Pelodiscus sinensis: one gene and its partner. The protein of the gene in region 1 purifies or fractionates together with the protein of each later gene. This does not show direct contact. Links are inferred from orthologs where the notes say so. Each region holds a gene or a part of one and is shown in the gene's direction. Other genes may lie near its edges.

Evidence for each region. Proteins that work in one complex are often made in the same cells at the same time.
Region 2: the proteins of SWSAP1 (region 1) and SPIDR purify together in Homo sapiens (co-immunoprecipitation; 3 studies listed by BioGRID and IntAct, with this or other methods). This does not show direct contact. The link is inferred for Pelodiscus sinensis from reciprocal best matches to the Homo sapiens genes SWSAP1 and SPIDR.

Annotation. Positions count from the first base shown.
Region 1 is NC_134729.1:12,541,456-12,548,344, forward strand, and holds SWSAP1 (ATPase SWSAP1), read left to right. Parts: upstream 1-4,623; 5' UTR 4,624-4,680; coding exon 4,681-4,881; intron 4,882-5,637; coding exon 5,638-6,177; 3' UTR 6,178-6,388; downstream 6,389-6,889. UniProt on the Homo sapiens protein: ATPase which is preferentially stimulated by single-stranded DNA and is involved in homologous recombination repair (HRR). Has a DNA-binding activity which is independent of its ATPase activity.
Region 2 is NC_134712.1:70,338,149-70,345,938, reverse strand, and holds the start of SPIDR (DNA repair-scaffolding protein), read left to right. Parts: upstream 1-4,772; 5' UTR 4,773-4,914; coding exon 4,915-4,929; intron 4,930-7,790. UniProt on the Homo sapiens protein: Plays a role in DNA double-strand break (DBS) repair via homologous recombination (HR).

The DNA of each region.
Region 1 (6,889 bases):
GAAAGCTCTGTCCTGGTTCAAACAGGAGTTCTCGCAGGCCTGTGGTCTCCAAAGGTCAGATTAGGTGAGCTCAGAGGTTCAGTCTGCCAGGGGTCCAGGCATCTACCAGTCTAGGCAAACCACAGGCTTGGCCGGAGCCACAAACCCAGGATGGCTACAATAATCTGTTCTGACGCCCAGGTCAGTGGCCAGGGAGGATGAGTGGCCAGAGCTCCCGGTCTGGGGGTGGCTGTCAGAGGCTGGGACTTGACTCCTGACCTGATGCAAACGGATCCCAGAGCCCGTCGGTTGTAGGTAAATAAGGGCAGGGAAGGGAACCGTTCTCGGTTCTCTGCTGGCAGGTGGGGGGGCTGGTTAGATACGTCCCTTCCGAGGACCATGTGTCATCCCCCATCTCTGCTCCGAGTGGGTCTGACAACCCCACCAGCACATGGGGATTCGGAGCCTGCTGGGAGGGGCCTCCAGGAGAGCAGCTGGCTCCTCCTGGCCCGGGAAGAGGGTCAAAGCCCCAGATCTGGAAGTGCCATGGGGGTTGAGGGTAGGATCCGGTCTCTGGGCTTCTGCAGTGGAGTGGAGGCAGGCAGGGAGCCTGCCTGAATCTTTGCGCAAAGGGCAGAGCTGGCGCTTTTGGGAGCTCTACTCCAGCAGGGTCCTGGCCCGTCCCCCAGCGGAACCGTTCAGCCTACAGAGCAGGCTTGGAAAAGGCTCCAGCGCCCCCCGCAGTCCATCACCCCCAGCTCTAGAGCATGCCTACTCCAGAGCCCCGCCATTCCAGAACCTCCTTCTCCAGAATCACCCTCCACTGAAAACCCCGATCTCACAGCTCCACCGTCACACCAGCCCAGTCCCCTGCACTGGGAAGTTCCCCATTCTAGAACCCACTCCGAGACCTACCCAACTCTAAAACCGCCATGTTCTGGAGCCCCCCGTGCCAGAACCCCAAACCTCATGCACACCCTTCCCACCACCCCAAACGTAACCCATCTCTAAAACCACTGACGCCAGAACTCACTGCTCTAAAACCCCCAGCTCCAGCATCATCCCATTCGAGAGCCACCCCTTGCTCCAGGACAGCCCCCTCTCACATCACACAGAGGTGATGGGCCCACGCAGGGATTGCTGGGGGAAGATCTCTGGCCTGTGACATGCAGGAGGTGCAAGGAGCTGACCACAATGGTCCCAGGACACGCACCGTCTCCTCCCAGCTCCCACTCCGCCTTTGTCACCCCCAGGCCGTGCACAGTATGTGTGTGGCAGGGAGGTTGTGATGGGGCCCAGCACACCCTGGCAAACTCAGTGCCCAGAAACACCAACGGTGGATACATTAGCAACCCAGGGACACACAGATCAGGGTGGAGGATGGGCAATGAACACCCCAGTCCCTCCCCCTCCGATAGGTACTGAAGATGCTACTCATCCACCGCCCCACCTCTGCCCCGTCACTAAAGGTTGCAGGTGGGATCGAGTCTGGGGAGACATCATCGGGGGGGGGGGGCTATTTCTGGCCTCCCCCTTAAAAATTCTCCACCCACTGGAACCCTGAAAGTTCTCAGCGTTGCCCGGCAACCAAAGCAGCAGGCGCTAGGCAACGCAGTTGCTAGGGAGTGTGTGTGTGTGAGAGAGAGAGAGAGAGAGAGGGGAGGTGATTGGCAGCTCTGACAGAGGCCTGGAAAATGGCACTTGACCAGATGAACAGCCAGCATCCTTCGGGGGGGGGGGGGGCTGCTGGGGGAGCTAAGAGCAGGGGGAGGGGGGCTCCAGTGCTGGGATGATTCACTCCCCGAGTCAGTACAGGGAGCTGGCTCCATGCTGCACCCCACTCACGACCTGCTCACCTAAGACTGGCCAGGACCCAGCTGCCAGCCGCCTGCCCATCCCAGCCTCCCTGCCAGCCCCGTGCCAGCAGCACCGGCCATCTGCAGCCAGAGGCCCTTCCCGGAGCCAGGCACCAACCAGAAATGTGCCAAAGCAGGGGACCCTGGTACAGCTGCACCCCATCCCCTGCCCAATGCACTGTACCCCCACTCTCCTGCCCCTAATCAGCCCAACTATAGTACTTTATTTCCCACTTCTCTGCCCCGAAAACAGCTCTCCAGCTCTCCCATTCCAACTCACGCACACGCCACACACACCCCCAGTTCGGGTGCTGATGCAGTAGGCCCTGGCTGTCCATTAACAATGGATTCCCAGACATTCACAGCAGAGACAGGGAGAGATGAGAGTTAAAAGCCCTCCCCTCCGAACGTGACAGAGCTCCAGCAAAGCTGGCTAGGGAAACCAGAGGGCAAGCCCCTGTGCCCACCAGTCCATGGGATGGGGTCAGATCTGGTGTCCCCCTAGAGCAGGGGTTCCCAACCTTTTTCGGTCCCCATATCCCCTTGGCTTTTAGGAAATATGAAAGGAAATAAATTCTAGACTCTAGAATCCACAACGTTTTTCACTAACACGACTACTATTGGAATATTTCAAATAGGATAACCTAGTTATTTACCAAATATTCCCCATACCCCCTTGACAAGCTTCTCGTACCCCCTGGGGGTATGCCTACCCCAGGTTGGGAACCCCTGCCCTAGAGCGAAAGGCTCATGCTGCCTCTAGAGCAGTCCAAGTTGGGGCAGGTTGGGGGGGGTGTTGGGGTACCAAAGCCCCCTTGGTAGCCCCCCATGCTCAGTGAGGCATATTCCCATGGCAGACTCTTTATGTACCCCATCTAGGTGCATGTCTGTGTCCATGTGAGGTGGGTTGCGTCCTGAATCCATTACTCTGCGGGTAGGGGTGTGTAGTATTTTATACCCAACAGTCCCCAGGCTGGGCATCTGAGCATGTGTGGGGAGGGGAGATCAGGGACCCCCAGTCTACGGTCAGAGCCACTTCACTCTGCTCTCCAGCATCTGGCCTGGGAAATCACACTGACTCCTGATCCTCCTGACACATGGACACACACGCACAGGCACTCTGTGCCTTAGCTGGTAATTAACAACTGAGATGCCCTGAGCTGTGATCGCAGCCTAATCTCATTAATTGGATCCCCCCTTAAAATCTGTGGGGAGGGAGGGAAGGGGGCATGGGATCCACCCCAGGATTCAGGGTGGCTTCCTTTTGACCCCTTGCTGCTCAGAGATCCCACTCTGCCCCCCAGCTATGGACATGGGACGAGCTTCCTTTATATTTCACCCCAGGCTGGGCTGCACCTGCTCTCATGTAGCCCCAGGTGGTAACGCTAGGACACCAGGGGGCTCTTTAGGCATCACAGCCAGTGTCCACTCTCTGGGGTTGCCCTAGATTTTCCTCCCCTCCCCAATTCTACTGCAAATTAACTCCTGCCAGCCTGGCCCTCCTCCCTACCCCCCCAGAGCTGGCCCCTCTCCCTTCCTCCCTAGCAGGCGACAGATGGCGAGAGGCTTGCAGATGCCCCACAGAGCCAGGGACAGATGGAAACACCAGCCGGCTCAAAACGCCACCGTTTAGTGACTGCTAAATGTTTGAATTAATCCCCCTCCAAGTCCCCCATGGCCTTCGATTGCCTTTGGGGCCCATAGCCAGCGATCCCCCAGGGACTCCATGTCACAGTGAACTATGTTTTTCTGACGCCTTTCCTAGGAGGCTATGGGTCAGCACTGAGGAGGTCTGTGGCTGGAGCTGTGGAGGGAGGAGAGTGGGATAACAGGGGGACAGGCTGAGATTAAGGGGGTTGGCAGAGGTGGAAGGGGTAGGGGCCAGGGCTGGGACCACAGAAGAGCTGATGATCCGGGTGTGCGGAGCATTGACCCAGCATGGGGGGAGCCGCTGGGAGAGCAGGGGGCGTGGGTCAAGATCCAGGGGCGTCAGTAGAGCTCTGGGGAGCGGGGCAGCTCAGGGTCGGGGATCCAGGGGCATCTCTGGGATAGCAGGGGCTGCAGGTCAGGATCCAGGGGCACTGACTGAACTGTGGGGCGGGGGGAGCTGGGGATGCAGGGGCCACCGATGTGCAGCCAGGCTTTGCATGGATGCCCCTCTCCACTCCCCCATCAGTGCACGTCAGCTGGCTCCCGTGCACAGGGCAGGGCTGGAGGCGGGGACCGGACTCCTGGGTCCTATAGCGGGGCCAGATGGGGGGGCGCACCCCTGGGTCCTATCCCCGGTGGGGGGGCGGGGCCCGGACTCCTGGGTCCTATCCCCGGTGGGGGGGGGGAATTCTCAGAGCAGGGGGCGGGGCGGGCCCTATTCGGGAGGGGAGGGGCGGGGCTGTGACCCCGGCACGTGGGGAGATGCGAAGGCGCAGAGCCCGCGTTCCGAACTAGAACGGAGGGGGCGGGGTCCGTCGCGCGCCGCTCCCGGATTGGTGAGGCGTGGGCTGATGGGCGCGGCTCCCGGGCTGCGTTCCCTAGGGAGGGGGCGGGGCTCTTAGGGAGGAGCGCCGATTGGCTCCGGGGAGGGCGCGGCCCAAGATGGCCGCCTCAATTGAGTGGCTAGTTCAGGGAGTGGGCGGGCCTTCCTCCCGCACGGGCTGGAAGGTAAGAAAAAGAGGAGCCAGGGGAAGCCGCTCCAGGATTGGCTAGGACCCTGAGTGGGCGGGCCTTATTCCGGATTGGCTGGAAGTTGCCAGGGGCGCGGCTGTACCTGATGCGCCCATTGGCTGTCACCCGGGCGCGGGGCGGGGCGTCCTTGCGGATTGGCTCGGACAGAGGCGAGGGCGGGGCGATGTCGGTGGCGCTCGAGCGGGCGCTCGGCGCGGCTCCGCGCGGCCTGGCCCCGGCCCCGGCCCTGGTGCTGGGCCCGGCCCGCTCGGGTCGCTCGGCGCTGCTCTTCCGGGCGGCGCTGGCCGGGCCCCGCGCGCTCTTCCTGGCGCCCCGCGCGCTGCAGCGTCTGCCGGGGGCCCGGCGCGCGGAGAGCGGCCTGCAGGTGGGGGCGGAGCCAAGCGCTAGGGGGCGGAGCCAAGAGCGGGGGGCGGAGCCAACGAGAGGCGCCTGAGGGGCGTGGCTAAGATGGGCGGGACGGAACCAAGGGCCTGGGAGGGGCGGGGCCAAGAGCCGGGGGCGGGGCCAAGATCACAAGGGGGCAAAGCCTGGGGCGGGGCCCGGATTTATCTCCTGGGGAGGCTGAATGGGGGGAGCTGAAGGCAGCAGCACCTGATAGGATGGAGCAAAGCAATTCAGAGTGGGAGCCTAAGGGGCGGGGCTTCACGGGAGGGGAGGAGCCTAAGGGGCGGGGCTTCACGGGAGGGGAGGAGCTTGAGGAGTAGGAAGAGTCAGCCAGGGAGGGGCTGTGTGGAGGTGGTGCTGACATGAGACGGGCTGGGCCTGGCTGGATGTTTGGGATGGGTTGCTGGGTGGGGGAAGGGAGAGGCCAGTGGGGAGGCAGGAGGCCTGGGCTGTGGTTGGCCTGGTGATGGGGGATCCTGGGCTGAAGCAGGCTAGACTGTGCGGGAACAGCGTTCCCTCTGAACTGGGTGCTTGTGTGGCTGCTGGGGAGATTTAAACGCCACCCAGCTGGTTAGCCCCCCCGTTAGGTTTTTTGTTTCTGCGGGTGGTGCACCTAAACAATTTATTTCACACATGGATGGAAAAGATTAGAGGGCAAATTGGTGTGGAGGGAGGGGATCCTGGGCTGGGACAGACCCAATCCCTCTTCCATTAGCCCCCTCCTCTTCCACCATAGCATGTCCAGTTCCTCTACCCGCCTTCGCTGCCGGAGCTCCTGCGGGTGTTGGCCTCTCTGCACCAGAGCCTGCCTGGGCCCCCTGCCCTCATCCTGCTGGACGGGCTGGAGCAGTACCTCGCCGGTTGCCCTGGCCCTCAGGCGGTCGCCCGGCTCTCAGCCCTGCTGGTGGACACAGCTTCATACTTCACGGGGCGCCTGGGCATGGACCCCCAAGGATCTGCCCCCAGCTGCCAGCTCATCGCCTCCATGCGGGTCTCCGGGGAAACAGAGGCTGAGGAGCATCTCAGCATTCTCCAGCGCTACTTCCCAGCCAGGTGCTGGCTGTGTCCGGACCCTGCGGCAGCCTTGGGCCAGGAGGACTGGGCGGGTGACAGGACATTCAAGGCGCATCTGTCCCAGCCTGGTGCTCCGGACCGAGAGTGGAGGGTGGGATTTGGCCTCGATGGAGAGATGACAGTATCCCCCGTCTCCTGTGAGTGTGCGGAGGATTCTGGGGCAGCTTCAGACCTGGACAGAGCTGCTGGGGCTGAGAAATGACTCCTGGGTGCCTGGCCCCCAGCATTCACTGGAGAGCTGACTTCTTGTTTCCCCAGCATGGATTTTTCAGCCCTGTTGTTGATTGAACCTTGGGTGATTTAGGGGAAAATCTGTCTTTGCACAGCCCCTCCTGGGCCTACTTTAATGTCCCACCCGCAGTAAACAGACACGGAGGAATTTTCAACAATACAAATTTGTTTGTTACCGGTCAGATCACGGAACAGCTGAGATGGCCCCCCTCCCCCCCCTCGTCACCCTGGGGGCTGCGCAAACAAAAAATACACAGCCTGTGCCCTGAATCAAACTTATTTTCCCAGGTTTTGGCTCTCCAAGGAAGTGGGGGGAACCTGACCAGTTAGCTGCACCCAGCTCTGAGGGGGAGCCCATCTGTTCCCATGGCTAGGAGTGGAGGAGACTGGGTTTCTGTCTGATCTCGTGACAATCACTTCCTCTGCTCCGACCATTAGACCCCACTCTCCATCCAGAGCCATAAATGGAACCAGGCTCCCAGCCTCTCCTTCCCCTGTTCTAACTCCCTGGACCCCGCCCCGCCTCCAGAGGCAGCTCTTGCAGCTGGCCCCGAGCTGGGGGGCTGTCAGGAGGACAATGGAGCCATGAATCAGGCCCAGCTGACCACATGCTGGTGCCCTCCCACCTGAGCTGCAGCAGCCTTTAGCTGCCTCCTCTGGCTCTCCGGTCCTGAGCCGCTCCC
Region 2 (7,790 bases), on another chromosome or scaffold:
AGATGGACCATTGGTCTGACCAAGTACAGGCAGTCCCCGGGTTACGTACAAGATAGGGACTGTAGGTTTGTTCTTAAGTTGAATCTGTATGTAAGTCGGAACTGGCGTCAGCTGCTGCTGAAACTGATCAGTTTCAACCGCGGCTGAATCTGGATGCCAGTTCTGACTTGCATACAGATTCAACTTAAGAAACCCAGGTGTCCCCAAGTCAGCTGCTGCTGAAACTGATCAGAGGCTGATTCCAGGAAGCCTGGGGCAGAGCAACTCTGCCTCAGGCTTCCTGTAGTCAGCCGCTGGTCAGTTTCAGCAGCGGCTGACTTGGGGACGCCTGGGGCAGAGCAGCTGGGGTGCTGCTGGGTTGCTCCAGTAGCGCAGCTCCTCGGTGCTACTGGAGCAACGCAGCAGCACCCCAGCTGCTCTGCCCCAGATGTCCTGATTCAGCCACTGCTGAAACTGACCAGCAGCGGCTGAATCAGGACGCCTGGGGCAGAGCAGCTGGGGTGCTGCTGGGTTGGTCCAGAGCGGCGCTGCGGGACCAACCAGGCAGCCCCCAGCTGCTCTACTCCAGGGGTAGGCAAGAAAAGCCTGGTCTGCTGGGGGGGGCACTAGCTGTACCCCGCCCCCCCCCAGCAGACCAGGGAGATGGGGGTGGCGGGACCGCCTAAGTCCTCCACGGCTTTGCTCCGTCTCCCTGGTCTGCTGATCTGGGAGACGCGGAGCAAAGCCGCAGAGCACGCGGGCAGTGGGACAGTCGTCCAGGCGCGCCGCGGCTGTCCCGCTGCGGGCGTGCTCCAAGGCTTTGCTCCCCGTCTCCCTGCAGACCAGGGAGACGGAGAGCAAAGCCTTGGAGCACGCCTGCAGCGGGACAGCCCAGGCGCTTCGGCTGTCCCGCTGCGGGCGTGCTCCGCGGCTTTGCTCCTGTCCCCCTGGTCTGCTGGGGGGGGGGGTCCAGCGGCTTTGCTGGACCCCCCCAGCAGACCAGGGGGACAGGAGCAAAGCCGCCCAGGCGGCAGGGGTCCCGCCACTTGGGCGGCTTTGCTCCCGGGCAAACGAGCAAGCCGCCCAGGCGGCGGCTTTGCTCGGGTGTCCCTGGTCTGCTGGGTGGGTCCAGCGGCTTTGCTGAACCCCCCCCCCCCCCCCAGCAGACCAGGGAGACCGGGAGAAGCTTTTCTCGCCCCGGAGGACACGGGTGGCGACCCGCTGCCCGTGAGCTCCGGGGCGAGAAAAGCCCTGTTTATAAGTGCGGATCCGACATAAGTCGGATCCGCGTATGTCGGGGACTGCCTGTATGGCTGTTTTTGAATTATTAAAGCTACTTGATGCATGCCTACGTGTGCTACAGTCAGCCTCCCCAGTTGCCATATAGACATACTTTAATTGCTACTAAAATTCTCTGTCTCAGGGGCTGTGTCTAGACTGGCCAGTTTTTCCGGAAAATCAGCTGCTTTTCCGGAAAAACTTGCCAGCTGTCTACACTGGCCGCTTGAATTTCCGCAAAAGCACTGATTTCCTACTGTAAGAAAAGCGTTTGTGCCAATTTAGACACTCTGTTCTGAAAAAGCTTTTAATGGAAAACTTTTCCATTAAAAGCATTTCCGGAAAATCATGCCAGTCTAGATGTAACCTACAGGAAACACAGTTCTGGTAGTAGCATTCCCCATAGTATCCTATTAGTAAATCTTATCCTAATGTGGGATCACTCCAAGAGTTAGACAATGCATTTGGCATGACTTTTCTTAATTCTTGGCTTCCTTGCAGAGACTGTCAACAAATTAGTTCTTGTTAAGACAATGGTTGCTCTGAGATCACATGGACACTTTTGCACTGAGAAATGGATTTGAGACAGGTCACAATTCTGTTTAATTTTAATAGGATCCAAGTCAGACTAATCAGCAGTTATTGTAGTGTCCTGTGATTTCCTGGACAATACAAGTTATATTGTCTATCAGGCCTTTAAAAGGAATAATAATGCATACAACTTGCCATCTCCCAGACACTTCAATTTAAACACACAGTTTTATTAACTACACATATATAGATTTTAAGTGTAAGTAATGAGGCATAAAATCAGATATAATAATTATACAAGGATAATAAAGCTAAAACACAACAGGTGCCTAACTTAACTATCTATGTTAAATTGAAAGTAAAGTTTTCTCATCAAATTCTTTCAGCAGACTTAATGACCAAACTTCTTAGGTCAGTGCCCCTCTTCCAGTCCAGTGGCTGTTTCTTTTGTCCATTCAGGTGCAGTGAGAGGAGCTTCTTTTATGGATGTAAAATCCTTTTGAAAATATTAACTGGTTAACCAGCTTATTATGGTGCACTGAGAGTGGTGGGTTGCTGGAGCAACCCCCCAACTATAGCATGCCATGGGCAGAGGGCTGCTTTTGTCGGGCAGGGCCCACCAGCTGCAGTAAGGTGCAGTAGGCATACCTGCAGCACTGGTTAACTCAGTGTTTCTTAAACTGCGTTCCACAGCATACCAGTGTGCCGCGAGGCAGTCGGAGATGTGCCATGGAGAACAACAGAATTAAAAATGGCCACCCTCAAAGGGGCAGGTGACCTTTTTTTCTCAATAACTTCCCCCCCAACTCTTTCTCCCCCTGACGTTTTTTTCATCAATACAAAATCCATGGTGTGCCCCATTAAAAAAAATTGTTTGGTGTTTCTTGGTCTTAAAATGTTTAAGAACCACTGGGTTAACTGATTACCTTGGTAAGCATGCCAATAAGGTATGCTGGCATGTTACCCCTTTACATCCGCAGTTTGTTGGAAAGTCTGTCCCTGATTTTTATAGTTCCATCCTTTCATCTGAAAAGCATTGCCAACGGGGAGCACAGAGAATCACTGTGGATGAGAACTCTATGCTATTTCTTTCTAAGATGTATATTTTTGTTTGATCACTGCCACTTTTCCTGTCAAAGAATAGCAACTTTTATGAATAGTGACCTTCAGCCTTATTCAACTGTGGCTGAGGCATCAGCTACCTACCACTTGATTTCTGAGGAACTGGTTTGGCCACTTTCCATATATCCCTGAAAACATTATTATCATGATCTCAGCTTATGTTTATAATTTGACATGTGATATGCATTTGGGACTTTTCAGTTTAGAAAAGAGGAGACTGAGGGGGGATATGATAGAAGTATATGAAATCATGAGTGGTGTGGAGAGGGCAAATAAAGAAAAGTTATTTATTAGTTCCCATAATAGAAGAACTAGAGGACACCAAAATGAAGTTAATGGGTAGCAGGTTTAAAACTAATAAAAGAAAGTTCTTCACACAGCATATAGTCAACCTGTGGAACTCCTTGCCATAGGAGGCTTGAAGGCTAGGACTATAATAGAGTTTAAAGGGAAGCTAGATAATTTCATGAAGGTTAGGTCCATAAAAGGCTATTAGCCAGGGGATAGAAATGGTGTCCCTGGCCTCTGTTTGTCAGAGGCTGGAGAAGGATGGCAGGAGACAAATCACTTGATCATTGTCTTCGGTCCACCCTCTGTGGGGCACCTGCTGCTGGCCACTGTCAGCAGACAGGCTACTGGGCTAGCTGGACCTTTGGTCTGAGCCAGTATGGCCGTTCTTATGGCATGTAATTAATGAGCAAGTTACAAGCATTTAAATTATCTCTCATGGGACATGCAATGTTACTATCATGTGTCGGGTGAGAGCACATGGATACCTTCCATTACAATCCTAGAACCACTTCCTTTTACAAAAACCTGGTTTGAAAACAGATGATCCTTACCCCGATCCCGTAAAACCACAGAGAGCCAGGTGATCTTGTGGCAGCTGTCACAGCCCTACACAGCAGCCTGCCTGCTACACAGGGAAGAGGGTGACTGCAAGGTAGCAATGAACTGAGCTGCCCAGTAGATTGTGTAACTCAGGGGTGGACAAAAGGGCCTCCGCGGGCTAAATATGGCCCACCAAGCAGGTTGATCCAGCCTGCGGTGGCCCTGCCACTCCTCTGCCCCCAAGCCAATTATAGCCTAGGGGCAGGGGGAGCACAGGAAATTTCCTCTGCCCTGCAAGGAGCGTGTGATACTTAAAAGTGCCATGTGCTCCAGGCAGGGTAGGAGGAGACTTTGTGCGCTGCCCCTGCCCCATCAATCAGGGCCTAGGGATAAGGGAAGCAGGCAAAGTTTCCTGTACCCTGCCCCCACCCTGCAAGGCGTGCATGGTGGCTGGAAGCACCACGGGCTTCTGGCAGGGCAGGAGCAGACTTCCTGTGCTCCCCCAAGCCCTTGCTTGGCCTGAGGTTGGGGAGGAGGGAAGGGAGCAGAACTCTCTCATGGTCTGTGGCTGGGGAAGCAGGGACATATCCGGGCCCCGACCCTTCCCATGTGGCCTGGGGCTACTTAAAAAATGTCTGAAGTGGGCCAGGTAAAAAAAATTATTGCCCATCCTGCTGTCACCAAGCCCTTGAAAGGCCCAGTGACCAGCTGGACCCAGTCCCACGCGCGGCCTCTAGGGGGCAGCAGGCACAAGGGCTGAGAAGTGCGCGAGACAGGTACAGGCGCCCTCTGCCGCCCTCCTCACGCCTCTGCCCCTCCCCAGGCTCCCAGCTCCGCAAAGGCGAGCAGATCCCAGCCCTTCGCCAACTCTCACGCACCCATCCTGCGCGTGCGCATACTAAGGGGGAGCGGACGCACAAGTTCCACAGCGGACTTGCTCTGCGGAATACGATAAACGAATGTCCCCCCCGCGCCACGTCACGCGTATTCCCGCACGCCTAGCCAATCAGAAGCTGCTGTGCCGCGGGCGCCAAACTGGAAAGGAGGGGGCGTGGCAGGAAGGGTGCAGACCCCGCCCGAGAAACGGGGAACTGGAGTCAGTGCGCTCCCCCCCCCCCCCCCCGGGCATCTCTGTCACGTGGCAAGGGAGCGGCTGTGGCAGCACAGGGGGCGATGGCCAGTAGGAAGGTACCGGCGCGTGAGCGGCGCGGGGCCCGGTGGAGGAGGGCGGGGGCGGAGTCAGCCGCGCGGGCGTCAGTTGTGCAGCGCCGAGCGCAGCGTGGGAGCCTCGGCGCAGGGGGCGCCGGTGAGAGACACCTGCGAAATGTACCGGGGGAGCGACATTGCCCGGGCGGCTCGGCCTGCCCCCCACCACGGGTGTGCCCCTCGCTTCCCGGGGTGCTGCTGTCCCTTGGGAAGTGCGTTCCGCTCTCTAGCCGGAAAGCGGCAGGCAACGTAAGAGCTGGCCATTGCCACTATGCTGCGGGGATTGCAGCGTATTTATCTTTAACGGACACAAGTGAACCCTACTGTGGCCTCTCTTAAGCGCTTGCAGAGCCCACGCTTGCTGTTTAACCTCTGGTAACTTGTAGAGGGGTCTTGCAAGAAAGCTTGGAGCCCTGGCCCCCTGAGTTCTGTGCATGGCATTATCACTATCCGAGGACTTGTCCAAACATGCACATGGTTAACTTTAACTTTATCTTCAGATGGTGCCTAAGGATAGGCTTAAAAGTTCATGCACAAGTGCTTACAAAATTGGCAAATCCTATAAAAAAAAAACCCCGACCAGTTATCTCAATATGCTGCAAACGTCTTTGGTATAGCCAAAGAATAACAGCATTTTGTGTGAAAATGATAGTTCAACTTTATGTTCTTTTCAGCTTGCAACTATATGTTTTGTGCACAATTGCTTCCAAATAGCAGGCTGCCTCTTCCTCTCCTTTCACCCTATGTAGGTGCTCAGGTTAAAGATTTCCCCCCATTATAATAAATAAGTATTGTAACATTTCCCTGTCCGGCTGTGTGTACGTTGATAGTTCCCAAGTTTGGGTCTATAAAACTGCAGTGCTCATTAACCAGCCAATTAGATTTTCTTCTTTTTCATTCATGAAGAAGCAAAAAACATGCAAAAAGATTTACCCAGCTGTAGGTTTCTGTTCTGAAATTTTAGTATAGTTCTTGACATTTTCTTTGGTTGTGGATAAGGCTATGTCTACACTCTACACTGCATAGCTTTTCCGGGATACCGTATCCTAGAAAAGCTATGCCGCATCCGAGGAACGCGTCTGCTTCTTTTTTTTTTTGAACAATTTCCAAAAAAGCGGTTGCATTCTTTCACCATCCCTGTAATCCTCATTATATGAGGAAGAAGGGATGTGTTGAAAGAGGAGATTTTTCCAAAATTTGGCTCCGTATGGACAGGCCAAATTTTGGAAAAGCCTCTTCTGAAAGAAAAGCGGAAAAAGATACACACATTGTGAGTCACAATTTGCATATCTTTTTCCAACTTTTCTTTGCAGTCAAGATATAGCCTAAGAGGGCTAGTGCAATTTTTGGAAGCATTAACAAGGTAATATTGGGTAGCCCTAGTTTTTGTCTGTATTGGCACTGGTATGATTTCTACTGAGATTTCTGCAACAATTCAAGAAGGAGGTCAGTAATGTAGCCTAAAATTTTATTTAAAGTGAATTTAGAAACACTGTATTATACCGCTTTGAGTTCAACTCTGCTGGCAACAGTATCTGCTACCTGCTTCAGATTTAGAGCCTCTACACAGTCAGCAGACCACTGGTGGTCTATGGCTGCTTTGAGGTGGGCTGTAGTTTGAACTTAACCTCCACTGCAGTGGGGAGTCTGCCCTGGCGATTCAGCCTTGCACCGGCACCCCCAAAGTTGGAGTGCCAGCTTCCTGCTGGGAGAAGGGAGACAGCCCCAGCCTCCCCATCGGATCTGGTTCATAGGGAAGAAGCAGAGCTTGAAGTGCCTCTGCGTGCTCCCCCTCCCACAGCTGGGGAAACACCAGTGCAGGGACATGCTGTCTTAGAGGCTTTCTTCTCTGCTCCCATTGGCTAGAATCTGGCTAATGGGAGAAGCGGGAGACTGCAGCTGGGAGTGCGGGGAAAGGGGATTCAAAGGCTGATTAAGTGCTCTCCTTCCCCTCACATCCAGTAGGGGCATCTCCATTATCCTCATGCACTCCCCCGCGCTACTCCTGCACCCTTCCTCCTGGTCAGGCTCTGCACGTACCCTTCCTTCTGCCCCCTCTTCCTGGTCAGAAATCCTACTCACAGCTTGCTCCTGTACCCTACCTCCACCCCAGACCTTGCATCCTCACCCCACCCACATCTCACACCTCCATTCCTATTCTATTTGCTGGCTGCCCTGTCCCGCACACTGAACCCCTCATTTGTGGTCCCACCCCAGAGCCTTGGGAGAGGGAGGTCCACAAAATCCACCAACCTCAGAACACCAAAGAAAAGGTAAACTGGTCTATGGGAAGCCTTGAACCTCATTCTTTTCTGTCTTCCCTCCTCCTCAGCCCCCTGAGGGACTGAAATGTCAGGAGAGTGAGGTGTCTCACTTGGGGGACACATCAGTGGGTGTTGGAGATTGTGGGGGTTTTTTGTTTTTGTTTTTTGCTTTTCACTTGTGGTCCCTGACTGATTTTTTTTTTCCTGTGGGTCAGTGGCACCTGACCCCAAAAAGGTTCCCTGCCATAAATAAAGACAATGTTGAAACCTTTTGTGTTATTTAAAATGAAATTTGGTAAACTAAACATTAGAAACTTAAAGCATTTAATCTGTTCAATAATTTCGATTAATACTCCCTTTCTTACTGGTTAAATTAAACCATTCTCCCTAGCTGCAGCACTAGCAAAATGGCTCAGGTGTAATTTAATGGCGAGTTTCCATTAGTAATTGGTGGTCCACAGAAAGGTTTGTCTTGTGCATGGGGTGGACCACGGGCCAAAAAGTTTGAGAATCACTGCTCTAGAAAACATAAAGACCAATGGTAGTGACCACACATCTGTACATCTACAAGTATCAGAT